Drosophila melanogaster: one gene and its partners. The protein of the gene in region 3 interacts with the protein of the main gene of each other region in a pairwise test. Each region holds a gene or a part of one and is shown on either strand. Other genes may lie near its edges.

Region 1 (4,379 bases), about 17 Mb from region 3:
TTTTACATGGTATCGCAAACACAACAAGCTGCACAGCAACAACAGACTGTACACGATCCAGTCGGACAGCTACTGGTCGAGTCTGACCATCCATGTGCTGAACACCAGCGCCTTCGATAACTACAGGTGTCGCGCCAGGAACGATCTGGGCACCATCGAGAGGACCACGCGACTGGAGCAGGGCGAGAAGCCTCCGTCACCGGCCAACTTCCAGCTGCGTGGCTTCAATTCAAACACCTTCGATGTGGTACTGAGTGCTCCACGAGGTCCTCCCGACAGTCCCATGGGGGTCAATGGATTCCGCATCGAGTACATGACCGAAATGGAGTTCAAGACGGATGCGGGCAAGTGGACCAATGCCAGGCGGAAGGATTATGCTTTCGAGGAGGGTGAGTTAAGCTTTAAAATATAGATAAAAGCTATCTCTTGCTACATTCGATATGTAAACTCATGGATTCTATAAATTTTAGGGGCTACCTTCCTTCTGACGAACTTAGAGCCAGATACCGTTTACCTGGTGCGGGCCGCATCACGGAATCTGGCCGGATTCAGTGACTTCACCAAGGTGGAGAAGTACAAGACACTTTCGCTGGAGCCCCGAGTCTCTTCGGGAGTCAAGGAGACCAGAAATATGTGCGTGGAACTGGGTGTGATGACACTAATGGTCCTGATGCGGCCGTTCCTGGGATGAATCTGAATCTGCAGGCGGATGAAGGATGACAGGTGATGCACCTAGCGGAACCGGAAACCAGGACCTTAAACCCCATGTGCTTTGTATAGCTATAAGGCGTGTCCACACGGCGACACTTTTCTGTCTGATTTGCTCGGTCTAAGTAATTTGGTTTACTCTTAAGTTCAGTGCGTTAATGTAACCTTAAAGAATGTTAAGTTTAGTAAGAATTTCTATTACGCTTTCAGTGCTTCGATTTGAATGATATTAGTGGATCACTTATAGGATATTTATATGTATTTAAACAAATCCTCATAGCAGTTAGACATAATCAATGGTTTGCTGGCCTTGGCTCCCCAAAATTATGCAAAACTAAAGCTTTGCTCAACATTCCAGTATATATTTTAACGTGAATTGGAAGTTTTCCCTGCAACTTTGCATCTCGTTGCCAAATCTTTAAGATATAATCAGACAGTTGCCAAAACTAAAAAAGTACATTAGTTTAGTATATACAAACAAATGCCTTCCGTCATTCGATATAACTAACAATCTTTTCAACTAAACTACATAAATATATAAAGTTTTGGAATACCATTAAACGCATCAAACAATTAATATAAATATCAAGGAGCTTAACGACAGCATTTAAAAGTTTTATATGTCACATAATTCTTTTTAATAGTCAAAGGCCAATAAAAACAATTCCACGTGTAAATTTCCAGGGCTAAAAAATACAGAATAAAATATAGATGTAAAAATAAGTTTAAACACTTTGCCACAATACAAATATTATGCAAACGAGAGAAAAACAAACACATATTTTACAAAAGTTATTTATATTCAATAAAATTAAATGTATTTCAGCTAAAGTGGTGTAAAATCTAAACCATAATACCTAGCCAAAGATTTAATATTTTCCAACTTTCGTTTGCCAATTGTGTGTGAGCCATAATAAAAGTTATGAATATCAAACCAGAACCGTTTGTGCTTCGATTTATTGATGTATAAATCAGTAAGTAAATAGAATATAAATATTTTAGTAAAAAAAATGCCTATTAGTTGGCGTAGCTTTTAGTGTTAATTTCTAATATTCGGCTCAAAAATTATATACAAAAAGTACAAAGCATAAAAATGTTGCAAGATGGAAAAACGAGCTCATTATTTTAGTCAGAACTCGAACCAGCCGCTAAATGCAGACTTTAATTTAGAAGATCAAATTATGAGGAATTCACAAAAAATATATAGGTTTAGCTCAGATCCGGGTGAGTAAAGCTTGCTAATAATGAATACATAAAATTAAAATTTTTATTTAGAATACAATAGAGTATATCAGCGGTATATGGCAACCCTCATCCGTGTGCAAAATTCCATGCATAGAAGATTTCAATCCAGGACCACTCTAAAATTGCAGGGCTCACATAGCCGCCTCTCAGCTGGCGGATTCTGTACGAAATTCAATAAATCCGGAAAGGAGAAAAAAAATAAACACAACCAAAGCCACGACCAGCAAAATGATACCTGTAAGCCTTCTTGCTCGAAGCCAACTGATTGCGCCACAAATGATGAACCTTCCTGCCGGGGCAATAAAAGTGCATCCGATAAAAGCCTGAAAATCACCCGCTGTTCCATACCGGAACCCAATAAGTCCCCACGCAGCGATGGACACGAGAACCAGCGTCAGAGCTGTGTGTCCTTTGAAGAGCCCGCGGCCAAGGATATTCCCACATTTGATCTGCACTTCCGGGACACCTCATGTACGGTGTCCCATGATTCCAGCCTGTCCTCCATCAACGTTTGCTATAGCCAAGAGCAACAGAGGGATATTACAAAATCTTGTCCCGCTCAAACGCCGAAAGAGCCAGCCCCTCAACGGATGAAGGAGTCGTCCAGGAATCAAACAGCTTCACGATTTTGCATGAGACCGTTGATTGTGGTGCCCACAGGTGGAGGAATTAAACAATTAAAGAAGGATCAATCTGAGAATTCCAAAATAGTTAGCACAGATCACTCCAAGTCGAAGTCTGCACACCACACGAATAGTTCTCGAAAATCCACAAAGAAGCAAGCAAAGAGTCACCGCCTTATTAAGTCTCACAGCTCTAAAGATTCTTTAGCAAATCGTGGTCAGCCTACAGTGGAAATTGAAGAAACTTTTCCAAATTCAATCTGCACTTCCGATACCCACGAATCCTGTGACTGCAAGAGCGAAGACCAATTTTGCTGTTACTATATACCAGAGGAGCCCCATTGCTCGCAGAATCCACCGCCATGTTCCAACTGCCCGGCTATATGCGACTTATCCAACCAATTGGAGGAGATGAATCGACGTTTGGAGGGCCTTCACAGCCAGGAACTCTGCGATATCCGCACGCAGGTGAATAGCCTCAATGCCAATGTTCAGCATTTGGCCAAAGAGTGCATTCAGAAAATGGATGGCGCCAAAAGGCTGGACAAGAAGACCTCGAGCACCTGTCAGTTCTGTCATGGGCAGTGTTTGAAAATACTTGATAGCTTCTATAGGCAACTGCTGGACTCACTTTGGGATCGTTCCCTGACAGACATAGTAATATCCATATTTCTGCGAGCAGACAATGTCTATCACGTAAATGTGCGGGATCTGAGCTCGGACTGTTCCCTTGGTTGTTACCTGGTCACTGATGCGGCCATAGAGGAGGCCATCGAGTTGGGAGTTTTTCAGAACATACTCACATTTAGTGTAATTGATGTGCGGAATACCATCAAGTCGAAGAACTGCGACTTGGGCATCGTCTTTGAATACCATCATTCAAAGCGGCAGACCGGTGGTTGCGATTCTCCACTTCGTGGCTCCTGCATGGTGGGCAAGGAATATATCGGCAGGGTTCTCGGACTTCCTTTGGAGCAGCTGAAATACCTGTACTCCGTTCCGCGATCCTATACCAAAATCACTGAGCACGACACTAGGAGTGTAACTGGAAGTCAGTTACACTCAGTTTCCACTCAAACGACTTTGATGGATATGCAGACAGAAATGAAGATAAGATATAAGAAAAGTGCCCGTACAAAACTACCATCAGTTTGAAAGATATCAGTTTTAATAATATATAGCAAAAGTTATAGTTAAGCCAACTTACAACGTATTTCTAAAATTTTGTAATAAAAGACCTTATAATTTTAAAAGCCAGCATAGATCAAAGGAAATTCTGATTAGTTTCAATAAAGCTAACCGTACAGGTTGCACTGCCATTTGCACAACCGACGGACCGCATGGCAAATGGTTCATTTGTTCAACGGGCGCGGTTTGTCAATCAGCCACATCAACTGGGGCTCAACTAAGGACCCGCATATGCGCTTTTGGCCGGAATGCCTTTTTGGGGGGGCTTTTTGGGGCAAGGAATAGGAGCACTGCGTTGACAGCCGCATAAATCAGTTGAATGCCAAACGTCGGATTCGGATGCAGATGCGGATGCTGTTGCGTATGCGGATATGCATTGCGACTGGGCGCCATATTGTGCGTGGTGACTTTTATTGCCCGACCGCGCGTTAAATATTTTTCTGTCTACACACATGGACATGGATGCTCCGCTCATCATTGACATTTACCATTGGCCATCGTCATTCGCATCACAATGAGCAGCAATGAGCGTGGCCGTTATTTGGGTGCGGTTCAAAACAATCAGCCCGGCTATTTAATTTCCAAATGAGAGGAGCATTATTCGGCACAGCATGA
Region 2 (4,690 bases), on a different chromosome or scaffold from region 3:
ATTGCGATGGATCGGCACGCCTCTTAACAGCTAAATCTATTTCTTAAGTGTTTGTATGTTTAAGTTGGATTAGATCGTACCCATGTATTTGAAAGTGCCACACATGGTGCGCGTGTTTGCCCCCAGTTTGAGCCACTTGCTAAGGCCGAAGTCGGTTAGCTTTATGTGAAACTGTTCAGTTAGCAGGATGTTCTCCGGCTTCGCATCACGATATATAATCCCAGCGTTGTGGAGAAAATCTAAAAAGAGCGTACGTGAGATATTGGTTTGCTGGCCTAAGACCTCTTTTACTCACCCAAGGCAAGTGCTATCTCGCCAATGTATAAACGAACCAGATCAATGGAGAAGTGAGTTATTTTTGAGAACAACTCGCCGTTGGGTACGTACTCCGATACTGCAGTGGATTAGAGTATTTAGTATACACATAAAATCGTTAGTATAGTTTTATCTCAACGCACGAATATGGAGGTTGTGGCGGTTTTGCCACAGATCTATTTGCTTCACGATAAACGGATGATGGCCGCAAACCTTCTGAATGTCCGCCTCGTCCTTTATCTGCCGTACACTGTTGTCTTCGATGAGCTGTATAAAAAAAGTAGGGGAGTTATTTTATCTCTGCCAGTATCCGAACCGAATGCTTAACAACCTTTGATTTCTTTAGCACTTTCAGGGCGTAGCACTGACTAATGTCACTCTTGCTGGACACCTTGAAGACCACGCCAAAGGCTCCCTTGGCCACCAAATGATCGATACGGTACAGATCGTTCTTGCTGGTCTCCTTAAAGTGCGAGTTGAAGATTGAGTTGGTCAGAGGTCGGTGCCACTGAGTCTTGCCACGACGAGAGCCATGAAGTGAGGTCAAGCTGCAAGCAAGAGTTGGCATATTATTTACGGAAACTTAAGGGGCGATCAATGCGATTCTACCTCTTTCGCGTGGCCTTGTTTCGATGACGAAATGAGTTGCGGGCACCGGAGAAGCTCCAGTTGAGTCGTCCTCCGCTAAGGCTGCCAAGACTCCAGGTGGAAAGCTGTTGCTGAAACAAGACAGACCATTAGGTTTTGGTGTTCAGTACACAATTCTCGCCCTTCACTGCTATCTATCCCATGTATATGTACATATGTAAGTTAATTTTATATTGAACACGCGGCGGACTGCCTGTATACTGAATGACCAGTGCTGAAGCCAACAAAACGGCCTGAAACGGGCTCAGCGGATTTATTACGGCTTACCTGCGTTGTTTTCAACGCTTATCCCAGCCCTTTCCACCGGAAAAATAAGCTAATGAATTCCCAGAACACTTTCTAGCAATCTATGAATTTCTACGGAGGCGTAGGAGACGGTTTTGCGATGTTCCCTTGGCGACGACACGTGCGTTATGGGCCTCTGAATATTTGCAAACAAACAACGCCACCGATGATCGAACAGCTGGGAACGGAACGCAGAAGAGAGCGAGAGAGCAAATCGACTATACAGTGGTGTCCACCGAGAGTGATCATATGTTTTCAATGTTCTCAATCACTATGACACATTCTTGGTAAAAAGTTAGTTTTTTTTCATTAAATTGCTGATTTTTAGTTTAAATAATAAGGCCATTTTTAGGCAAACCCGAGTAAAACAGTGAATTTAAATTGGTTTCGCTATTAGGTAACTTTCAAACCAAAAGTGTTGATTTAAACCATATTTTGAAAAATAATGGAGCTATGAGCTTTTTGTGTGCAAAAATTTTTTTATCTATTAATATAGATTGCTGACGTGAAAAATCTTTAATAAACTACTGCTGAGAACTAAATACGTTTTCGGCATGCGAAGTCTTATCTCATTTTCTAAACGCTTTTCCACAAGTCGTTCCCATATGCTAGCCCGCGTCTGTGGCCAGAGTTTCTTTGCTTGAGGGTCACCATTCCATTCCGTATGGCTACACACACGCGTATGGAGCATAATGTACAGATCTGTGGATCTGGATCTACGCGTGGGCTGTGCGATCCCCAGATTCATAAAGTGAAAACAGAGGGGGGAGCACGTGGACGGGTGGATTTGATAAGGGGGAGCCAGAATTTGCGCAGCGGGAGGCTCAATTGGCATGGCCATGAAAGTCGTATGCGAATGCGGAAATACTTGGGGCATTTGAAAAGTGCGGAAAAGAGCGCCCACACACGTGCTGCCTGTGGGGCGGCGCGAGGAAGAGTGGGTTTCGTGGGGGGTCAGGGGTCAAAAGCCGCAACGTAATTGAAAGGGGGAAAACGCGAACCCAGCACCCATTAATGTCATTAATGACGCAGTATTTATTCGCGCTGACGAGGGAAAACATGGCCAACAAAGTGTACATACATATGTGCATAAGTACGAATGTATGTTTATACGCGCATATATGGGTTGCCTTATCAGCCTGTCCTACACATATACTACAACGTCCACCCACCACCCACTTGCGACTTTTCTTACTCATTACCTGCTGTGATTGTACAGGCTGTTCCTCGTCGCCCGGAGGATGCGACTGTGTTGGCTGGTTGGTGTGGGCCTGGAACTGGATTCTCCTGCTGCTCGGTTGCTCCTGTTGCGGCTGTTGTTGCTGCTGCTGCTGCTCCTGATACAGCTCCTCCTGGTGGTAGTGGTGATCGCTGGCTGAGGCGCCTAGTTCCGCTGCGCCTTGTGGCCACTGGGATGTCCTTCTGCTTCTGCTTGCATTACGCGGTTGCGAGTTGCCCATCAAAAGCTCCACTCGTCCCAATCAATTCCCGTTGTTTCTGTTTCGGTTTCTGTTTCCTTGTCGTCCGCTTGTTGTTTACACACACACACCGCACACCACCACACTCCACTCGTTCCACTGGAATTGCGCAATCACTGTTCGTGTGCGTGCGCGTGAGGGGCAGCCAAAAAATCGCAGTAAAAAGCGCGCACTCGCAGTTGGGGTAGCTGAAATTCTAATATAAATATTTGGTAGCTAAGGCTGGCTCTATTTTGCTGTTTTTCAGTGTGTTGTTGTTGTTGTTGTTGTGCAGGTAGCAGTGTGACCAGACCAGACGTCGGCTAGCACCTAAGCGCGATTGTTCTCGGCTGTGCGAAGGGGCACACTGTGAATTAGTGGCGCGTAATGTCAGTGGATAAAACGTATTATGTATTCTAAGCTACCATTGTCAGTTCTGAGAATTTTCAATCTTCTACAAACTAATGTTAAGACATGCAAAAACTGTTTTTGTGAATGAACAAATAGTTAATAGTATTATTTGTATATTTGTATTAGTGTTAGTATATTGCTGTTTCTATTTTACATTTTATTTCCAGCATCACGAAAATGTTAATAAGCGATAGTTGCTATCGATAATGCCGGGCGATAGTTGGCGACCCCAAGTGTCACCAGTGAAACGCCAGTCCTATTTTTTTTACGAACGTAGCTCGAATAGTCAGGATAATTTGAATCTGGTTGTTTTTACTTCAAACATAGCTTAGGAAAGGGTGTGAAAAGCGTATACTGCGAGCCATGGACATCGATTTGAGTCTGGACGAGATTATAGAGCGGAAGCGCGGGCAACGCGGCTATCGTCCCCTCGACAGAAAGTTGTAAGTACATTTACAGGACAGCCGAAAAAATATAATGTCACTCAATGCGTTTTCCATTGCAGCAATGCGAACTTCTCCAAGCCGCGCCAGCTGCTGAACAAGCCTTTTTTCAAGCCATCGGGTGCACGAGGATCTCACTCTGATATGCCGGCAAAGCGCACCTTCGATGCCAGAAACACGATTGCCGCGAAGACACGGGCCAAGATAGCCGATGCTCGGGATCTGATCAACAAGAGCGTGCGCGACTCGGGCATCGATGCCCGCCAACTGTTGCTGGAGCGAAAGAAGGCCCGTTCGGCGGGCCCAATACTTATTGATGACGAAGAAGAGTCGTTTGAGCCATCACATCGCGCACGCGGAAAGGGAGTGCACATCGGTCAGTTTGGTCACCGCCTTAGCATGTCAAACCATGCGGACGGCACCATTCAGGCGAAATGGGACTCGGACGACGGGGTCGTTGAACTGGGTAACCACATGTTGTCCGGCTTGCGTCGAACCTTTGACCCCAGATCCCATAAGCCGGGCAAACCCTTTGCTCCACGACGCTATATTGATCTTGATAATATGCAGGACCTCGAGGATGGTTAGTTAGTGCCTTTCTCTGCCAAGCCGTTCCTAAAAAGCACTCTTCTACTTTCAGAGGAAATATCTCGCACACTGCACTTAGGGCAAATGAAGCAAGCGTCGCCACGCTACTCAATTGGTGGGCTCGACCTGAACCGCGGCGACGACGTGGAGATGTCCATGGCCCCACTAAATAACAAAATAGATAACAATGCATTCTCCATTTACGAGGCGGCCCGCAATCGCATTGAGCGTCCTTCGCTGACCAACCGACTCGTAGTTGGACGCTCAAATAGCACCAAGGAGCCTCTCGAGCGCCGCCACCGCGACACAGTAAGCACAAGTAAACTCCCAGAATCGCTGCGGTCTCGTCTGTTTGTCGGTAAGAGAGATCCTCACATTTCTCATGGCATCTACGCCAACGAGAACCGGAGAAAGGCTGTTGGTGGCGGTGGTGGTAGTGATAGCGATAGCGGTACTGATAGTGATGGTGATGCAGCTGCTCCATCGAAGAACAAGCGCCGTTCGCCATCCCCATTGTCGCTGCGTACGTCGAACACAAAGGAT
Region 3 (2,788 bases):
AATTACCAATTACTTTTAGGCTGAGCATACTTTGTTCGGAATAAAATGTTACTCGTATATTAATATATATATATATTAATATATATATTCGTTGAACAGTATGTAACAGGCAGAAGGCGTTTCCGACCATATATTCTCGATCTGGATCTCTAGCCGAGTCGATCTAGAAATGTCCGTCTGACCGTATAAAAGTCATATCTCAGGAACGCAGCTTGCAGAGGCTGCGTGTTCCCACGCATCTTTTTAATTGGTTTTCAATATTGCAATGTCAAAGACATTCTGGTGAATATTAACATGCACATTTTTTAAAATATACATATTTTTCTAACGTGTATATATTTCCCTTTCCCACTTTTGAAAAAGGTGTTGATATTTTTTTAAATATAAAAAAAAATATAAAATAAAATAAAATATAAGTTATATTATATATAAATATAAAACTACCACGACCACAATTTTTCAAAATTTTCTTTGTCTTGTAAATTTCTATCCGCCCAAAACTGGAATAATAAGGCATACACATTTCAAAATTTATTTTATTAAATTATATCAACAATTTCTACGAAGTGCATGGGTTTACTTTAGTAGTATGGATTTCCATTGCCCCGCGACTGATAAGCTTGACCTTCTGGGCCGCCAAGGCCGGGCAATGTATTATAGTAGTCGCCTTGCCCACTGCTCCGCTGCTGTTCCATTGGAGAGCTAAAAAGAGCTACACGAATTCGAGGAATATATTGTATATATACATACTAAAGCCCGTTGCGAGAGTTCATCTCACGAAGCATTTTTGTGTATCGCAAGGGACTGCGATAGCCAGGACCACCAAGCGATGCAGATGCACCATTAAAATTTGAAGAACCTTGTCCGCAATTACTCTGCTGCTGGCTATATCCATGGCCACTGCTCGTTTGGTTGTACAGCATTTCAAAGCCCTTTAAAAGCAAAGATTGTTTGGGCACAACAAAAACTCTTGCTGTATACTTACCTCGCCACCTTGGCTATAACCATCGTATTGCATACCATTTCCGTATTCCATGACTGAAAATTTTGAAAAAAGATTTTACTTGACTTTCTTATAAAATTTTTACAATTTTTTTTTTTTTTGTTTTTTAGAGATGTTTACAGTCCGAAACCTGAAATGAAACTGGAAAAAACTGACAAAATGCCTGGGAGGTGTACAAAATCAAATGTCACTTCTATCATAGATAGTGTGATGAAAAAAAGGAATAAAATTTAAATTATTAAAATTTACATTTTTTTTTTTATTTGTAAAAGTAAAGTCGTATATTTCCACACACATATTACTTACCCTAAAAAGTATATACAATATATTCTGGAATAGGATCAATAGCCGAGTTAATCTAGGCATGTCCGTCTGTATGAATGTCGAGATCTCAAAGACTATGCAACTTATGGATTAAGAATGCAGATTCTGATAAAGCCTATGCTATGCAATATTGCTTTAGTTACTTATTTTATTATTTGTTTTGCTTTTCCTATGGATATGTCAAAAAGATTTGGGCCACGTTCATGCTATTACGGCCAAAATTTTGAAAAATGTTTGGATACTTTTCTATTCACTTTTAAACTTCCTCAGTTCTAAGATATGAACAAGAGAGAATGCTTTAGCAAAAGTGTCTTTAGTCTGGCTGTAACTTGTATTGTTAATAATGTGTTCATTTGTGTTCTCCAACTCTTGGAGCTTTTACATTTTTGGATAATATATTTTTATGTATTTCGATTATAGCTGTCTCTCTTGTTTTATTTATAGTTTCATCAAATAAAAATATAAGTTAGTCCGTTAGTCTTGATATCTTTTAATTTGGTAATGAAATACGTTAATATGACGTTCGGTTATATTGTATAATTGCAATCACCCATGGCACCGTCTGATGTCTGATGTCTGCTATATCGCATATCAATGGAAAATTTCAAAGAAAATAACAAAATAGAAAATATTATTATATAAACATTTTTTGGCATATTGCTAGAAATGTAAGGCCAATAGTAAGATACAGAGTGAATGCACTTTTCAAAGTTGTGAACATTACAGGTTTGTTGTAATCTTTTGGCTCTTTCTGGCCATTTTTTATAAGCGATCCGGATACCTTATCTAGACCATTGCAGCCAAAGTTCCTGCGGGGTAAGGACACGGATAAAGTCTGTAAAATCGCCATAATGGTAATCAAAGCAATGCAAGTCCGGACAATATGGCCTTCCCTCCCTAGGAAAAAGCAATGAATATGCAAACGGCACAGAGTGAGAACGTCGCCGAATAATTAAAATCGAGCTGGATACCGTTTTTAAGCCAGCGGGAGTGAGATCTTCTTTGGCCGGATTAGAGATACCGGCAAACACTTTACGGCGGACAATTAAGTGCGGCTCGTAATCGGTCTGTCGTAATTATAGCGACGCGCCGCGTATTTATCTAGAGCAATTAACGCCAAGCCGGGGAGGGCCAAGTCGTATATTTTACATCACCAAAGATGCGCAATTGGACCAGACGCTTTCTCAACTTTAATTAAAACTATATAAGGGCAAATACATTCAGCGAAAAAGAATATTACATGGCTTAATACAATGATTTAGGTGCCTGGATTTTGCACTACAATAATGATGTAGTTCTCGGAGGGCAGCACAATCACCTCGTGAACCTTGGTGCGCAGACGTATTGTCACCAGCTCATTGCTGGCATCCAAATTGGTAATCATTTTGGCCGCCTTATAAGTTAAGGTGCTGATCAAGGCCGCGTAATGCACGGTCAAGGTGTACTCCATGGTGGTCTTGA

The links.
Region 1: the proteins of CG15219 (region 3) and CG15631 interact in a two-hybrid assay, tested with the Drosophila melanogaster proteins (one large-scale study listed by BioGRID).
Region 2: the proteins of CG15219 (region 3) and S6KL interact in a two-hybrid assay, tested with the Drosophila melanogaster proteins (one large-scale study listed by BioGRID).

Annotation. Positions count from the first base shown.
Region 1 is NT_033779.5:4,731,859-4,736,237, reverse strand, and holds CG15631 (uncharacterized protein), read left to right. Parts: upstream 1-1,779; 5' UTR 1,780-1,811; coding exon 1,812-1,932; intron 1,933-1,983; coding exon 1,984-3,731; 3' UTR 3,732-3,825; downstream 3,826-4,379. Other genes in the region: fipi (factor of interpulse interval), read left to right, coding at 1-389, 471-691.
Region 2 is NC_004354.4:18,786,850-18,791,539, reverse strand, and holds the start of S6KL (S6 kinase like), read right to left. Parts: upstream 3,077-4,690; 5' UTR 2,709-3,076; coding exon 2,451-2,708; intron 1,379-2,450; exon of another isoform or gene 1,231-1,378; intron 1,035-1,230; coding exon 925-1,034; intron 864-924; coding exon 647-863; intron 583-646; coding exon 459-582; intron 395-458; coding exon 296-394; intron 240-295; coding exon 81-239; intron 1-80. Other genes in the region: CG6961 (uncharacterized protein), read left to right, coding at 3,480-3,559, 3,622-4,142, 4,200-4,690.
Region 3 is NT_033779.5:22,104,366-22,107,153, forward strand, and holds CG15219 (uncharacterized protein), read right to left. Parts: upstream 1,148-2,788; 5' UTR 1,037-1,147; coding exon 986-1,036; intron 933-985; coding exon 751-932; intron 703-750; coding exon of another isoform or gene 687-702; coding exon 560-686; 3' UTR 526-559; downstream 1-525. Other genes in the region: CG10834 (uncharacterized protein), read right to left, coding at 2,586-2,788.